2 linked regions of the Nothobranchius furzeri genome follow. The protein of the gene in region 1 interacts with the protein of each later gene in a pairwise test. Links are inferred from orthologs where the notes say so. Each region holds a gene or a part of one and is shown in the gene's direction. Other genes may lie near its edges. The genes, in order: dzip1 and ppp2r5a.

Evidence for each region.
Region 2: the proteins of dzip1 (region 1) and ppp2r5a interact in binary tests that used the Homo sapiens proteins (3 or more experiments, as listed by UniProt). The link is inferred for Nothobranchius furzeri from reciprocal best matches to the Homo sapiens genes DZIP1 and PPP2R5A.

What each region holds. Positions count from the first base shown.
Region 1 is NC_091754.1:57,281,125-57,289,623, reverse strand, and holds the end of dzip1 (cilium assembly protein DZIP1), read left to right. Parts: coding exon 1-284; intron 285-3,721; coding exon 3,722-3,840; intron 3,841-4,069; coding exon 4,070-4,199; intron 4,200-4,269; coding exon 4,270-4,349; 3' UTR 4,350-4,663; downstream 4,664-8,499. Other genes in the region: abcc4 (ATP-binding cassette sub-family C member 4), read right to left, coding at 6,711-6,800, 6,887-7,021, 7,305-7,410, 7,485-7,657. UniProt on the Homo sapiens protein: Molecular adapter that recruits protein complexes required for cilium assembly and function to the cilium basal body.
Region 2 is NC_091742.1:7,931,882-7,940,547, forward strand, and holds part of ppp2r5a (serine/threonine-protein phosphatase 2A 56 kDa regulatory subunit alpha isoform), read left to right. Parts: intron 1-455; coding exon 456-586; intron 587-1,398; coding exon 1,399-1,458; intron 1,459-2,876; coding exon 2,877-2,985; intron 2,986-3,088; coding exon 3,089-3,142; intron 3,143-3,243; coding exon 3,244-3,294; intron 3,295-3,361; coding exon 3,362-3,481; intron 3,482-5,027; coding exon 5,028-5,155; intron 5,156-5,701; coding exon 5,702-5,803; intron 5,804-8,585; coding exon 8,586-8,666. UniProt on the Homo sapiens protein: The B regulatory subunit might modulate substrate selectivity and catalytic activity, and might also direct the localization of the catalytic enzyme to a particular subcellular compartment.

The sequences.
Region 1 (8,499 bases):
TCCTCAAAAGAGCAAGTTGCCGGCGTCCAGATTATTTCAGGCCACGCCAGTCCAGATTACAGCAAGTAAAACCGGTCCAGTCCAGTCCAAGAGCGCTGCAGCCTTCCAGTCCTCCTCCAAACAATCAGCGGGAGCTGCAATCCAGACAGCCGTCACAAAGATGGAGAGCGAGGAAGAGGACGATGACTGGTCAGACGTCAGCGAGCTGCAGGAGATCGACCCAAAACAGATGCAGGGTTTCAAAGACCTGAACGGAAATATGAACAAAAAAAGATCTGATAAAGGTTAGTAACCCGAAGACACGAGGGCCATCCTTTCCATGGGCTCACCACTTGTGGGAGGGGCCAAAGGGGTCAGATGCAACGTGACCTTGGCCGTCTGATCAGCTGGCTCTCGGTTCAGATAACGGTACCTGTCTGGTGGGATGGGAGCCTGAGCTGGTGTGTGAGGTTGGGACGTTCTGTGAATGTTACTAGAGTGTAGCTCACCTTGTAAGATGTCTGACTCCCATATGGAAGACCTGGGTTTGATTCTGGATGTGAACATAGTTCATTTAGAGTTTCTTTTTTACATTAATGTTGTATTTTTTTACAGTAAGATGCCCAAATTTTTATTTGAGACTCGCCGAACGGCATTGAATTCACAGATAAAAAAGATGTGGGTTCAACTTTCATTTTGGAACAATTTTTCAAGCAAGGGAAGGGAATGATCTGAGCATGCAGGAGGACTGACCCATCATAAACCTTTGTCGGCTGTGCTGAAGAGAAAGCTACAGAACCACATTTAATTAATTAGCTGTGTGTTCTCCTGTCCTCCGGGCCACACACACACACACACACACACACACACACACACACGGGACTGTCTCAGCTGTTATTTTCATTAAGGAGTGTGCACGTACAGCATGTGCGCCTCGTGCACGAGCCTCCTATTGAAGCTGCCGTTACGCTTTTGGCCTGAGGGGGCAATCGCGAGCATAAAAAGTCAAAAGTCCGTAAAGTCCCTTTAAAAACTTTAGTTTTGGCATCGTTTTATCTAAATACATTAGAGACTAATGTTTAGGTAGTATTTTTATAGTTTTTCCGCTGACTGCTTGAATTTTGCTGTTGGTTTAAAAAACAGGAATGTGACTCGAAATTATAAATTTTTTAAAGATTTTTTTTTTTTCAAATAAATTCATTATTTCATTTATCTGCTCATAAACCATCATTTTGTAAGGAAGCTAATGGAAACGAAACTTGTTAATTGTACGTATTCATTAAATCACCTCGGTATTCATGTGCACCTTCCCACAACAGCTCATGCAAATCTCGGCTGGTATGCTCTTTTCAGCACAACACCTGTTAAATTCAACAGCCACCACAGTTCATCATGGACGATCCATGATGAGCACAGAAGTCCAATAACAAAGCACCGCTCAGGTTCAGGTCACGGGGGTCGTTCACCCCAACCACACCCCTCCAGGTCTCACTGTCATTGCCCATACGCAAGGTCTCCCATCAGAACGAGGGAGTTCCCAGATGGAGCGCTCTCCAGCACCCACTCCTTGGGCTCCAAACAGGAAGGGGGGTAGTCGCACAGACAACAGTCGGGACCCGTCCTCCCACACGCAGGTGGAGGGAGGCTACGCTCTTCTTCACCGGGTTAAACCCCAACAAACAGCCAACAAGTATGCCCACCCCGGATCGGCGCCTCTCAGTGGGAGCAGTTTCAGAGCGGTGGAGAGTCCAACGCCTCTCAAGGAAACTGGTTCTAGAGCCAGAGCCATGCATTGAGGTGACACTCTATGTATTTTCTTTAAGGCACTCGAGGAGTACAGACGCTTCCCTCTTTCGCTCCCTTATCTTTTTTTCCCAAGGCTCTTTGTCCTGTCTGCCCACAGAGCGCTTCTCTGCATTTCTTCTGAAAAACCCTATTTTTACTAACCATGGATTTGATAAAATGGTCATTCAATGCGATCGATAAGATTTTTTCAACAATGAGAACGGAGCAGGGGGCTCCCACATGTCCACAGGGGACACACCCGGTGGGATATATTTTGGATTCCTGGAAGAAGTGGAAGATCATGTGCCTCTCCCAGCTGTCCATTGAGGATATCGAAGACGTGTGGATATTTGGTCTGATGATCACTGGATTTCTCCTGATTGGAGTGGGAGGATATCTGGTTTTCTGGAAATTTGGGAAGACGGGAGCGATTGGAGGGCGACCCGTACCCACGGAAAGCACCGTCTGAGTAGAGACTTCTCAGACTGGGACGTTACTCGAGGTGAATCGTAAGCTGGACAATGTTCTAGCTGCGATACCGGTATTAGTGCGCAAAATGGATGTCATCTCAGAGAGTCACCGGACGGTATGGACAGGTTTAAAAACCCAAAATTGGCTTCACTGAAGGACTGGAAATGATCAGCTTAAAGACTGAAGGCAGAGAGGAAAATTATCTCAGCCTGACCCAAACAAATTCTTATCTGAATCTGATGCCCTGGTAGCCTTGAGCTGCAAGCAACTAAAACCCCCACGAAGTAATGCAGACAGATGCTGTGAACCCCCCCCCCCCCCCCCCCCCCCCCCCCACACACACACACACACCTTCAGCCTGGCGAGGTCATCAACCTGCAGGAGTCAATGTGCTCTTCGCTTCTCCCAAGATCTCCCTCCCACCTGTGACTGTACAGTAGATGAGCGCCGTAGATGGCTGCTCTCGCTGGGGGGAACGGGATTCCTCCCCCCCCCCCTGTTTTTTTTGCAGAGCAAAGCTACCCTCTTGGTGGGAGGGTAACTCTGAAGTGCCTTTTTTTCCCTCCACCTGAACCAATCCTCATGTTACCCTCTTATCTCTATTAAGGTAGCGCGACTCGGGTTGCGAATGACCACAGTCACCAATTCTTGTCACGTGTCTTGCCCATGTATGTCTGATCTCTGAATTGTGTGTAATGAAACTCTTAATTTCCCTCTGGGATTAATAAAGTATTGACTGATTGATGTAACTGGAACCTCTCAACCACACACCAACTCAGGCTCCTCCCCCACCATAGAGGTGGCATTACACGTACCGAGAGCTAGCTTCTGTAGCCGAGGATCAGACCGCCACGGTTCCCACCTTCGGCCACCATCACACAATGCGCCCTACCCCTTTGGCCCCTCCCACGAGTCTTGAGACCATAGGAAGGGGGACCTATGTTTCCTCTTCTGGCTGTGTGTGACCAAGCTCCATGGCTACTGGGCACTCGTCAACATGCTGCACCTCCAGAGGGGAGCCCTGGTGACCCGCATCTGGGCTGGGGAACACGGTTTCTATCGAAATTGTTCATCATAAAGGGCCTTTAAAAATGTATAGATGATACTGTTTTTGTGATCATTTGGAGCCTAAACTGAAATTAGCCCTACTTCCTTTCTGTATCTAATCTGATATCTGTCAGTAGATTGACATCATGCCTCTTAGAGCCAGTTCTCCATGTATTATTGTTCATTTTTCTCTACAATTTCATCCCGTAGGTTAAGTCTGGCTCATACTTGAGAGATTTAGCTAAACCGATGTATTATCCCTTCTGGGGAGTCTCAGCTTATTGGTAGTCGGGCTTTAACTGATGAGGTCAAATCTCACTTAAAATAAGAAAAGTTCAGAAACGGCCCAACATCAAATCCCAAACCGGTTCTAAGTCTGACACAAACCCAGAGCACACCTCGCATGCTAATGTGACTTGTTCGTTTTCATGTCTTTTAGTTCAAATCAGTGACTTGGCTCGAAAAATGGAGCAGCAGTTTGCGGAGAGAGCGGTGAAGAAGCCAGCAGGGGGCGTTAGCGTCCTGCCTGGGAGGAGGGATGAGGTTCAGGAGCTACTGGTGAGAAGACTGGGTCTCTAACTGGGTTTAATGGTTCAGACTTGATAGACTCAACAGTTTCACTAAAAAATGTAATTGTGAACTTTCTGGCAAACATTGCGATATCAATTTGATTCACCTTTTTTTAAGTAAAACAGTTAATAAAAGTGATCCTGAGTCAGTCAGGAGAGTGAAATCACAGCTTCCATCAGGAAAGGATGAATCTTTCAGTCCAACGTGTTGTTAACAGATTACAGATGTGGAGGACAGACAGGAAGTGACTAAACCAACTCTCCGTGGTTCTGGACCCTTGAGGAAGAGCCTGGACTCACCTAGCACCAGCGTGTGGGGAACCTCCACAGGAAAGGGACCCAGCTCAGGTAAGAAGCACTTCCTGTCTCACACAGCTACACCCTTAGAACAAACCTAAACTAGGTGTGTTTCCTGCAGGTGTGACCGAAGCTGGAACAGGAAGCACCCTGAAGAGCAGCCTTTGTTCCCTCAGTGACATCAGCGACTCAGAGTACTAACGCAATAACACACCTGATGTGATGATGTAGCACAAACACAGAGACCTCAGCTTCTAACTCCTGAACCAGACCAGCGATACACCCCACAGGGTCCAGAGCCGCACCTGTCTCTATCAACGTCACACTTTGTTGTCAGCTTTATTTTTTGCCTTGTGCCAACTCTTTGCTTGTCATAGATTCAGTGTTTCATGTGCATTGTTCTGTTATTAGGGATCTCTGTTTTTCTACTTGTGTCAAATTTTGTACATTTTTATTGCTTCAACTCAAAGAAAATATTTATTCAAGCAATAAAAAAGATCTTTGTTGAATTTTGATTTCAGGGTTCTGACTTATTTTTGTAGATAAAATCAGGGCATTATTATGATATAGTAATATTACATGAGTGGTTATTTTGGTCTTGATCATGCCGACAATAATATCGTTTATCGTCAATGATTTGTTGGACAATATATCGTCCAAAAATATTTGTTATCGTTTCAGGCCTAGTAAAATGTTTTAATCAGGAGAGGGAGAATGTTTAAGTGGTTAGCAGCAGTTTGCTAGCTGATGGCCCCCTCCATGAAGCCACCACAGCTCAGCAGAACACCACTGCAGCTTCTTCTGGGGAGAAAAACTTAGTTAACAGCTAATGATGCAATTAGAGAGTAGTGGTAGAAGGTAGTAGAGCGTGGAAAGTCAGTGTGTCCTCCAGCCATCTAAGCCTATAGCAGCATAATGACAGAGATAACTCTGGATAACCTAGCCTTTTTAGATGGAGGCATGTTGGAGGCAGGGCAAGGGAGCCGTCTTTACCGACTGTACTCTCCACCTCCCTCTACTCCCCCACTTGTCCAGATCTAGGCTAACATCAGATTTTAACCATAGGCCCTATCAAATGAAAATGTTTTAAGCCTGGTCTTAAAAGTAGACAAAGTGACTGCCTCACGGACTAAAGCTGGGAGCTGGTTCCACAGGAGAGGAGCCTGATAACTAAAAGATCTGCCTCCCATCCTAATTTTAGATATTCTGGGAACCACCAGTAGACCTGCAGTCTGAGAGCGAAGTGCTCGGTTAGGAACGTATGGAACAATCAGGTCACTGATGTATGATGGAGCTTGATTATTAAGAGCTTTGTATGTGAGAAGAAGGATCTTAAAATCTATTCTGAATTTAACAGGTAGCCAATGTAGGGAAGCTACGACAGGAGAGAAATCAATTTCCCTCTGGGATTAATAAAGTATTTTTGAATTGAATTGAATATGATCTCTCTTTTCAGTTCTCATCAGAACTCTAGCTGCAGCATTTTGGACAAGCTGAAGACTTTTAACTACATTCTGTGGACTTCCTGAGAGTAATGATTTACAGTAATCCAGTCTTGATGTAATAAATGCATGAACTAGTTTTTCAGCATCACTCCTGGAAAGGATGCTTCTAATCTTAGCAATATTCCGGAGGTGAAAGAAGGAAATCCTAAAAACCTGTTTAACGTGGGATTTGAATGACAGCTAGCACTAGCCGCTGCCTGTGAGAGGGTGTGTGTGTGTGCAAACACACAAGTGTGAGAGAGAGAGTGTTCTTGTACTTACTACACACGGAGGACCATTTTTTATTGTCAGGGTTTTTAAATTCTGGGGATGGGAGGGAATGTGGGTATGCGGGGCCTTTTTAATTTGTTAAGCTCTTTGAGTTGCATTCATCGTATGATTAAGTGCTTTTAAATAAAGTTTGATTTGATTTTGATCCTCACTTTTTTTTAAACTTACCAGTTGATTTTAGAGGTATGGTGTGAATTAAGTTTTAGTTAAGGTTAGGGTTAGTAGAACAGCACTGGTTAGGGTTACTAAGACAGAAAGACAGACGAGTGTCTGTGTGTGTGTGTGTGTGTGTGTGTGTGTGTGTGTGTGTGTGTGTGTGTGTGAGAGAGAGTTTCAGAGGTCATAAACGTTGATTGAACACAAAAGTAAAACAGCTTTTTACTGAAAACCCAAACATTTGCCGTTACATCATTGAAACCTGGATCTGCAGCCTGAAACAGAAAAAGGCAACTTTGGACACAAACACACTAAAAACTGATGCAGAACTAAAACAGCTGAACATCCTGGAGCCATTAAAAACCCGTTTCTTCAGAACCATAGCTGATAAATAAGTAATGCTCCACCTGAACAGGTGTGGCAGCAGAGTTCCCAAAGCTCTCTCAGCTTAACAGAATCAAGCAGCGGCTTTGTGTGCAAACGTTTGAGCGGTCGGAACACCGCTGGGCCCGTTGTCAGGCCCGGTCCTCCCTCCGAGGTGGATATGTGATCTCACCGGAAACCGGACCTGAACCCAACCAGCTCACGCTCTCCGGAGTCTCCTAACAGAGTCACGACTTAGTCTCTGAGCTCATAGAGCCGTTTCAAAGATAACCAAGTTCCCGTCCGACGTTTCTTTGGGTCCGTTTGGAATGCTGGGATGACTTCTGCTCTCGTACGCCTGAAGCAGAAAATAAACAAACAAGTCAATCAGACAAAAGTTGGTTTAACAGAATCAGACGGAGCTTCGTCTAGAGTACGACTCACCTGTTTAGCTGCTTCTAGCAGCGCCGCTGCCTCCTGTTTGCCCGTCTGCTGAACCATTTTATACAAGATGCTGCTGGCGTCCTGCAGCAGGACGTACGGCTCGGCGTAGGCGTGGATCTGCCCCGCATCCAGAACCTGCAACAGAACCAGGCACGGTCACGGTAGAGCAGCAGAGACTGGTTCTAGCATCAGAACCGATCTGTAGTCTGGTTCTGTTGGGGTTTCATCTGACCCTAACCCCCCTGAGCCCAGTGTCAGACCAGTCACATCTGCACACTGGAAACCAGCCAGGTCTCTGTTCCAGGAGAACCAGACCCGACTCATGAAGCTGAAACTCTCAGCACCTTAACCTGTGAAAACCTGCTTGACCCTTCAGAGCCACCGTAGTGGAACCACCTGTGTGTAGGTGAGAACCCACCAGGATCCTGTCGCTGTCGATGATGGTGTTGAGGCGGTGGGCGATGGTGAGCACGGTGCATTCCCTGAACTTTTCCCGTATGGTTTTCTGGATCAACTCGTCGGTTCTGCAGAAACAACAAACAGCTGAGCGTGTGACCTCTGACCTCTGAGGACCTGCTGCGTTATGTCTCAGGGGTACCTGGGGTCCACGTTGGCCGTGGCCTCGTCGATGATCAGGATACGATTCTTCCTCAGGACGGCTCTGGCCAGACACACCAGCTGCCTCTGACCAACGCTGAAGTTGGAGCCGGACTCGGCCAGAACCGTCTCCAACTTCCCCGGGAGCTCCTCCACCGCAGACTTGAGCTGGACCTGGAGGAGACGAGCAGGTGGTCAGAAGGACACAGACGGCAGAGACACATGTCCTCTGCACCGGGCCACTGAAAGGTCCATGGTCCTGGATATTTCAGGAACCAGCAGAGTATCTGAACAAAGGAGGGTCAGGAACGGCCTGGGCGGGATTGGTTAACGCATGCTGGTAATGACATCAGCAGACGTCGGCAAACAGCCGCCGTTTTTAAACCCGGAAGAGTTGCTGGCGAGGAAAAAAAAAAAAAAAAGAAAAGAAAAGAAGCAGCACTGATGCTGCTTAAAAATCGTGATTTCTGAGCTCCCAGCACAAAGAGCGCAGTGGAAGTCCCTCACAACGCAATCAACACGGAACACCTGTAAAAACGGCATTTTTTCTGATCATTGAACGCAACTTTTTAAGTCACACAGCCACTCTCCCCGTCTCCCGAACTGATTAATTCACATCGAACTTCAACAGTGTTACTAATGTCCGTGGACGCCTTCTGGCGCTGATCAGTGACATCACTCAGTGCTGAAGCAGTCGTGATGTGCTGCTGACGTCTGAAAGTCCTGAAAGGGTCGATTTTATAAGGAGAGGGCCGAGCCATCGTAGTTCCTCCTCCCCGACGATTCCTGGAATGGGGCTAAAGAGGTGGTAAAACCAAGCGAGTGTAAACACACGTGATGTGGGAGTGATTTTGTCGTGGAGTGTTTAAAATGGCGAAATCACAAATCTCCTCTTTGGTCAGATCTTTTGAAAAAATCATTTTTGGTACCGCTTGGGACATTAGCTACATGCTAACGCAGTGAAACAGCTCCTACGTCATCGCTCTACCGCGTTTTTCTTGCTAATAGCACCTGGA
Region 2 (8,666 bases), on another chromosome or scaffold:
ACTCATCAGTGCTGCAAATAGCTGCTTTAAACCAAGGGCTTTGAAAGCTGTTTACATTGCTAAGCGCTCACACATTTGTGTGTGTGTGAGCGTGTTCAATAAGCTGCCTCACAGCTAGCGCACAAGGCTCAAATATGTGTATAGTCAGCTGCAGCCTTTTCTTCAAAGATGTCTTCCTTAGATAAGACATTCATCTCACTGTCAGAAGCTGGATTTATACCACAGTGAAGGCAGCATAACCGCTGAGTCATGCAGTGACAGCAGTGACCACGAAACAAAACGTGTCTTTTTTTAACTCAGCGAGTGATTGATGATAGTCCTGTTGGCGCCTTTTATTCAAAAATAAAACATTTGAGCTCATTTGTTAGGTTTATGGTACAAACATAAATCTCTGATGCGTGACTGTGAGTTGTCGCTCAGGAGTGATGGCTGTTGCTTTGCCTCCATCCGTGCAGCTGCTGGAGCTGTTCGACAGCGAGGACCCGAGGGAGCGGGACGTCCTGAAGACCATCCTGCATCGGATTTATGGGAAGTTCCTGGGCCTGCGAGCCTTCATCAGGAAGCAGATCAACAACATCTTCTTGAGGTGAGTTTGTCCGTCGTGCATTCATTTTTACTTCTTCTTTAAAAGGTGTGGGTGTTTCAGGCGGTGTCTGATCGGCTCAGATTCATAAAAGTCACTATTACTGCAAACATTGTAAATGGTCTGGAACAAAAACTCATTTTCTTTATGGTATTAATCATCAGACCCAGGCAGTTTGTACTCTAATGGGTCAAACATCAGAAAACGGCAGCAACGCGTCTGGAGCCAGTAATACCTCACATCATCTGCTGTTTAATCTGTTTATTTAATTGCTTTTTGGCTTCTTGCTGCAGAAATGCTTTTCTCTAAACTCCACAACTCTTCCTACTTAAAAAAAAATTTTCTTACAACTATAGAAGTTATAGAAGAAGTGCTTTTATTTATTTATTTATTTATTTATTTATTTTTAAATGAGATTAGTCGGAACCATCGCCTGTTTGGTGTGAAGTTATAGAGCTTCTCATTCACTTGACCCCATTCCCCAGGTTTGTGTTATGAAAATGATTTTGTGAACAGATCCATCCTTTTTTCATATAAAGAAGATATTTTCAGGATTATACACGAAAAGGAAATGAAATTCTAAATCTGATTGAAACGATTAAAATAAACACACATTAACAGGAGCTGTTAGAATAATGTAAGGAGATTATTCTTAGCTCTGCGATGGACTGGCTCTCTGTCCAGGGTGTACCCCGCCTGATTGCCCGTTGACCGCTGGAGATAGGCACCAGCCCCCCCCCCCCGACCCAATGGATGGATGGCTTATTCTTAGCTTTTACAGCCTTTAATCTTTTATTTATTTTTTACTTTTTCAGGTTCATATATGAAACCGAACACTTTAACGGTGTTTCTGAACTGCTGGAGATTCTGGGAAGGTGCGTATTGGACTATGAAGTGTCATTTGTAGTCAGTGTCCTAATTTAACAGCAGTATTTCTGGTTATTTAGCCCATCAGGAGAGGAAAAAATGGGAGCTAATCTCTCAAAGTCAAATTTCATATTATTTATACATTTTTAAATGTTAAAGTTCCAAGCAAAATATTTAGTTTATAAACTAAATGATTATTTTACTAAATAGATATTTAATTTGGAGCTAAATATTTAGTTTACAAACTCCAAACTGAATATTTATTTTCCAAAATAAATACTTAGATCCCAGCTAAATATTAAGATCTGGCCCTAAAATAGATATTTTTGCTGGAATCTAAATATTTATTTAGCAAAATTAATATTCAGACTGGAGTTAAATATTTAGTTAGTAAACTAAATATTAATTTTACAAACTAAATATTTAGTTCTGACCTACATATTTAGTTTGTAAAATAAATATTTAATTCTAAATTAACTATTTAGCTTGCTAACTAAATATTTAGTTCGGATCTTTAATATTTATAAATGTGTGAATAATATGGTAAAATTGTACTTAGAAAAATTATATCCCATTATTTTCTCCTATGACAGTCTAAGGCCTAGTCCACATGTAGCCGGGTTTTTTTCAAAAAACGAATATCCGCCCCTCCAAAAACTTGCATCCACACCACCTCGTTTAAAAAAAAAAACTGTCCACAAGTACCCAGATAAATATGTTGTTAAGGACATGCCAGACCTGTAGGCGGCAGTACTTCCCCCATTCTTAACCTCGTCCTTCGTCTGTGGTCTTCCACAAGGAGCAGTAATTCCGCTTGCAAAAACAAACGAGCACAAAGCGCTTGGACAATTGATAAAGGAGCGCAGCTCTGAGGGCTTCCATGATGCCGGCTAGTGTAAACACAGGTCGCACACGTGATGTCAGCATTTTTTGTCGCGGAAAGTGACGATGCGGACCTTAAAACTCTGGTTTTGTCTGTCCACACGCAGACACCCAAAACGGAGAAAACGCAGATCTTCACTTTGGCCGGAGTTTTTAAAAAGATCCGTTTTCGTGTGAAAAAACTCCGTTTTCATGTGGATGACAGGCCAAAACGTAGAAAAATATCTACGTTTTGGCAGATCCCTGGCTACGTGTGGGCAGGGCCTAAATAACAGTATATTGCTGTTAAGTTCTGACTTTACAAATGGCACCTCACATTGGACTAACAACAAAAGTTATTTATGAAATATAGAAAAAAAAACATTTTCAGGTTACAGCTTCAGCAGAGTGAAGATATGAGGCTAAATGATTCATTCAATTAATGTTTTGAGCATCTTTTCAGTAATTAAATCTCCGCTTTACTGAAATTAGAAAATAAAAATGTCTGCTGTGGTTTGTTTGAATCATGTGTGTAATCTAGCAATCCCTCTTTGTTTATTTTCAGCATTATTAACGGGTTTGCCTTGCCTCTGAAGGCAGAACACAAGCAGTTCCTGATGAAGGTGCTCATCCCGTTACACACAGCTAAAGGACTGGTTCTTTTCCATGCACAGGTAGAAGAAAGTCAACTTCACAGCTGTTGTAATAAATGTTGGTATTATGGTGTCCCCTAGTGGATTAGACGTGTAATTGCATGTTATTATTCACTTCCTTCAGCTGGCTTACTGTGTGGTTCAGTTCTTGGAGAAAGATCCCACGCTTACAGCGCCGGTACTTTTTATATTCTTCCTTCCACTCAAATTACTGAGGAGAAACATCTGCTCTAGTTAGAAGCCATCAAACACAGAAGATAAATCCGGTTTTCTCTGCAGGTGATCCAGGGCCTGTTAAAGTTCTGGCCCAAAACCTGCAGCCAGAAAGAGGTACTCTACCTGTCTGTTTGTAAGCTGTTTGTTTCTGGCAGCATAAGTAACGACCGCTCCCACTCAGGTGATGTTCCTGGGGGAAATCGAAGAGATCCTGGATGTCATCGAGCCATCGCAGTTCAGAAAAATCCAGGAGCCGTTGTTCAAGCAGATCTCCAAGTGTGTGGCCAATCCACACTTTCAGGTGTGCTGAGATCTTAGTTTTTGCATATTTTTGAATATTTTAATTCATTTTATTATTTAATCACATCAAAATAAACTGCATTGTCTCAACCAAAAATCGCTTTTCAGCTGGAATGTATGTAATTTAGCAACATATCTAATTATAAATCATAAATAGTTCAGATTTCCAAAGTTAATCTGTGAGGAAAAACCTACGAACATCTAATATTTAGCCTGTCGTAGGGGCCTCTTTGAACGGCCTCAGTATGGAGAAGCAGAGATTGGTCAAACAAGCGAACTGACTGCAAATAACTGTAGAATAATGGGCTCGACACACGGGAGGCCACATCGCCTCTCCTCCATTCATTTTCAATGAGACATGCGCGACAAAGCAATAATCGCGGGTCTCCCTTCTGCTAAGCGAAACGCGAAAAACTTGCATGTTAACTTTTGCGCTCATGCACGTGTCGTGCACAGGCGACGCAGCAACACGATCCCAGAAAGTTGAAATATTTTCAACTTTTCATCGCTGTCACTCGGACGAGGACCAATCAACAGAGGTTTCATTCACTGACCAATGAGCGGACAGGATGCTCCGTACACCTCCGAGCAATCAGGAAGGAGAAGTTGATGCTTGCTGTGACGGATTTCCCAGAACTGTACAATATTTCTACTAAAAAATATAGAGATATTCACACAAAGGCTGCAGCGTGGGAAATTGTTGGTGCCAGAATTAAATGATGGTATTCTCCGTTTCTTTCTCTGGTTTGTAATATGGGATGAACCCATTCTCATGTTATTTTTTTATATAGTAAAATCAGAAGTAAGATAGATGTCACATACCTCTAGCAGCACCTTGTGAAACATCATATCTACCGCTTTTTTAACTCTGAACTGCTTAAATAACCTTAATTCCCTCCAACCTGACACAGCCAATCAAAACAACGGAAGATTCGAATTAGCCATGGAACAGAACGCGTCGACAACTTTGCCGCTGCCGCAGGTTGCCTCCCGTGTGTCAGGTAATAAAAGCGACGGATTTCGCTGATCGCGGTCGTTTGTCTTCTCCTGTGTGTCAAGCCCATGAAGGTTTGTAAATGGTATGTGCACAAACTTATGTTGGGATTTTGAGCTTGAAGTTGTTTTAAGGCTTATTTTGGTGGATTATATGTGATTCAGGAAGAAAAACTGCCAGCTAAACTAAGTGAATTAGCAGTTGTTGGTTCCTGAACAAGGAAAAATGGTGGATATTTCATCGCTGCATGGTAGCAGTGGACCAGAAAAGGGTTTTGATTTTTGACTTTCAGGTTACCCGATACCCTATTAAGCTGATTGTCTTGAATATTAGCCGATTCTGACAACCAGCCAGTTTAATTTTATGCGTCTCTTAATAGAAATTCACTAGTTGTCTGTGACTAGCCATTAGCTTATCAATCTGGTAAGAACTGATCTCCGGTTCTCCAAATTGAGCTTGTTGAAAAAGCTTCAGCGTGTATCTCATTAAATCTTCGTGATATTAAACTTTTTTGTGTCTGCATCTTCATTTGTTTTCTGCTCCATCCTCACAGGTATCAGAGCGTGCTCTGTACTTCTGGAATAACGAGTACATCGTCAGTCTCATTGAGGAACACATCGAGAACGTTCTTCCCATCATGTTTGACTGCCTGTTCACGATCTCTAAGGAGCACTGGAACCCGTAGGTTCTGTGACCGTTAATCCAGACCGGATCAGATCATGAAATACTGTATTTTCTGGAGTATAAGTCGCACCAGCCATAAAATGTATAATGAAGAAGAAAAAAACATATAAGTCACACTGGACTATAAGTCGCATTTTGGGGGGAAATTTTATAATTTTTCTTAGAAAATCTGAGACCAAGCATTTCACATTGCAAGACAAGTGCCGGTAACAATAACAGAATAAACAGTCAGGGCGCAGCAGCGCGCCACGGTCTCCAGCAGAGGATGGCGGTGTTTAAACCCTCCCAGCGGGGCAGAGGAGCTGAAACCTGGACTGGAGCCGGCCCGCAGCAGCGCGGTATACGCAATTTGGTATATAATTCACTTTGGTATACAAGTCGCAGGACCAGCCAGATTATGAAAAAAAGTGCGACTTATAGTCTGGAAAATATGGTAATTAAGTTTTCTGCAAAGTTCTGGAACTTGTCCCTAAAGTAAGTGTGTGTGTGTGTGTGTGTGTGTGTGTGTGTGTGTGTGTGTGTGTGTGTGTGTGTGTGTTTCAGGACCATCGTAGCTCTGATCTACAATGTCATGAAGGCCATGATGGAGATGAACTTGAACCTGTTCGACGAGCTGGCGACCTCGTATAAAGAAGACAAAATGCGGTGAGTTTTTAATCGAGGGAACATTTACCAAAACCACCTCAAATTCATTTTACAACAGACGCTTTAAAAGCTGTTGGAAAAACAAACATTTACAACCTTAGATGGAATCATTCCCATTTTTAAAGCGCTCTAATCAATTTTCCTTTTTTTTTTTTTTTTTTTGGACCAGTGCTTGGTGCTAAAGAACAAAACTTGGAATTTATTAAGTAGGAAATATCAGTTTATATAGAGTAAATATTGAAAACCATTCCACCAGCTAGGAAAGATGCCAGAACTCTTTCTACAGGGTCTCGGTGGGGTCTTAAAACGTCTTAAAGGCTTTGAAGTTAGGAATGTGGCAATAATATCTTTATAAGGTCTGTACAAAGTCTTGAATTTTGACAACTGGGTCTTTAAATTTGTGCTGTATGTAAATTCATTGAACTGTATTTGTCCTCTAAAGTTTCATTTGTCAACCACAATAATTCCTAAATAACGTAGCCTAAATAAAGAGCGGTGGAACCAATAATTGAGAACGCAGCGCAGCCTTGGGTCAAAACACTTCGAACACGTGACGTGTTCAGCTCCCGCGCTACAGCAGTGGTACAAAACGGTAAACGACACAGACCATACAGACCTCCAGCAGAAGAGAAACGTGGAAAATCTCAGCAGACCATGAGAAAGGTTGACTGACGCCTAGGGCTGGGTGCCAGAACTCTGGACCTCTTTGGGACTGAGTGGAAACATTCAGTAAGTGCCGAAATCAGAAAAAAGTATTAAAATGTCCCAACGTGCCACCGCGGGTCATATGGCTGATCCCGAGTCACGTTATGAGTGGAGGAGATGCGTCTCCTTTCAACAGCACTTCTCTGCAATTGGCGGATGCAAATCCTAAGAAACTCAAATGTTTGGGTTAGTGATGCACCGATAGATTACGATATCCGATATTATCATCACTGTTATGGCCGATAACCGATATTTGCTGATACCGATATGTACATTAATGCTTCTAAAATCAGCAGTTTGTGTATTGAATGAAAATTATTAAAGCTGAATTTACATTATTTTGTACCGTATTTTCCGGGCTATAAGTCGCACTTTCATAGTCTGGCCTGTCCTGCAATTTATACTCCGGAGCGACTTGTATACCAAATTATGAAGGCTATACCGCGCTGCTGCGGGCCGGCTCCGGACCAGGAATGAGCTCCCCTGCCCCACTGGGAATAAACAACACACAGCCATCACCTGCTGCAGCCTGTGGCGGGGAGCTGCGGACCGGCTCCGGCCCAAGAATGAGCTCCCCTGTCCTGCTGGGAGGGTTTGAAACACCGGCGTCCTTTGCTGGAGACCGTGGCGCGCTGCTGCGCCCTGGTTGTTTATTCTGTTATTGTTACTGGTACTTGTCTTGCAATGTGAAACACTTGGTCTCAGATTTTGTAAGAAAAATAATCAAATTCCCCCCCAAAATGTGACTTATATATGTATTCTTCTTCTTCTTCATTATACATTTTATGGCTGGTGTGACTTATACTCCGGAAAATACGGTACACACACCACACTCATTTACGCTTCTGAGATGATTACAATCACTGTCACCTTACTAAACAAATGCACATCACCCCCTTACCCTCTGAAACAGATAAGCAAATGTAAACAAGATGGGGGAAAAAAAATCTGTTGTTAAAATCGGTCCAGTTTTATCTATCAGGCTGATACCAATATATTAAAAAATGACTAAAATCAGCCAATACCGATATTGATGCCAATATATCGTGCATCCCTAGTTTGGGTGCATTTTTCCCAAAGTGAACGGCAGCTAAACGCAACAACAGCGAGAAGATTTGTACCACCAAAGCGCATTGTCGTGCAGGGCATCATCTTGAGATGAAACATAGAACGTCTTTGACTGCAAAAATCGTAAACTTGATTCCATCACCTTCCAAACCACTGGAGGAGTCTGAGGATGGAGGCTGATTAAAGCAGAAATGGGACATAAAACCAACTTAGCTGCTGTTTACCAGTGTTATAAATGCAGTTCAGCAGGGTTGTGATTACTGCTGTTACTGACATGAAGTGAAGCATGAAGGCTATTTTAGAAAAGAAAGAAAGGACAACGATCTTTTCTATAGCGCCTTTCAAGATAAAAATCATGAGCTGCGTCTCAAAAACCACAAAATTTAACATATAAAAAAGATTTTAGAAAATTATTAAAAATCTGTTAAAAATAAGCAAAAATAGACTCTTGTGATTAAAAAAATGCAAAGAAGGAGAGATCCTCGGGAAGGCGGAATAGGTGGAGAGGGCAGAATAAGGAGAGGCCGGTGATGAAGGTCACGCAAAAGCTTGAACAGGTGAGTCTTCAGCTGCTTTTTAAAGGAGACCACTGAGTCCACTGATCTCAGGCTCAAGGGGAGAGAGTTCCAGAGTCTGGGGGCCACAGCAGCAGATGATCTGTCACCTTTTGTCTTTAGCCTGGTGCTGCACAACCAGTAGGCTTTGATCACTGGACCTCAGGGACCTGCTGGGGGTGTAGGGACTAAGAAGATCACCAATGTATGATGGTGCTTGTCCGAGCACAGGCATTCTGAACCACCTGTAGACGGTTCAGGGAGGTTCTGCTCAGACACGTGAAAAGAGAGTTACAGTAGTCTAAGCGTGAGGAGATGAAGGTGTGGAGAACGGTCTCAAATTCAGAGCGGGACAGAATGGGACTCAGCTTAGCAACGTTCCTGAGATGGAAGAAGGAACACCTGCAATTGTCAATAATTTAACAGATTCTTCTGTTTTCTTCACGACCATCTAGGGAGCAGCAGAAGGCGCAGGAGAGGGATGAGCTATGGCGGAAGCTGGAGGAGCTGAGGCTCAGCCATGCCGCCTCAGTCCA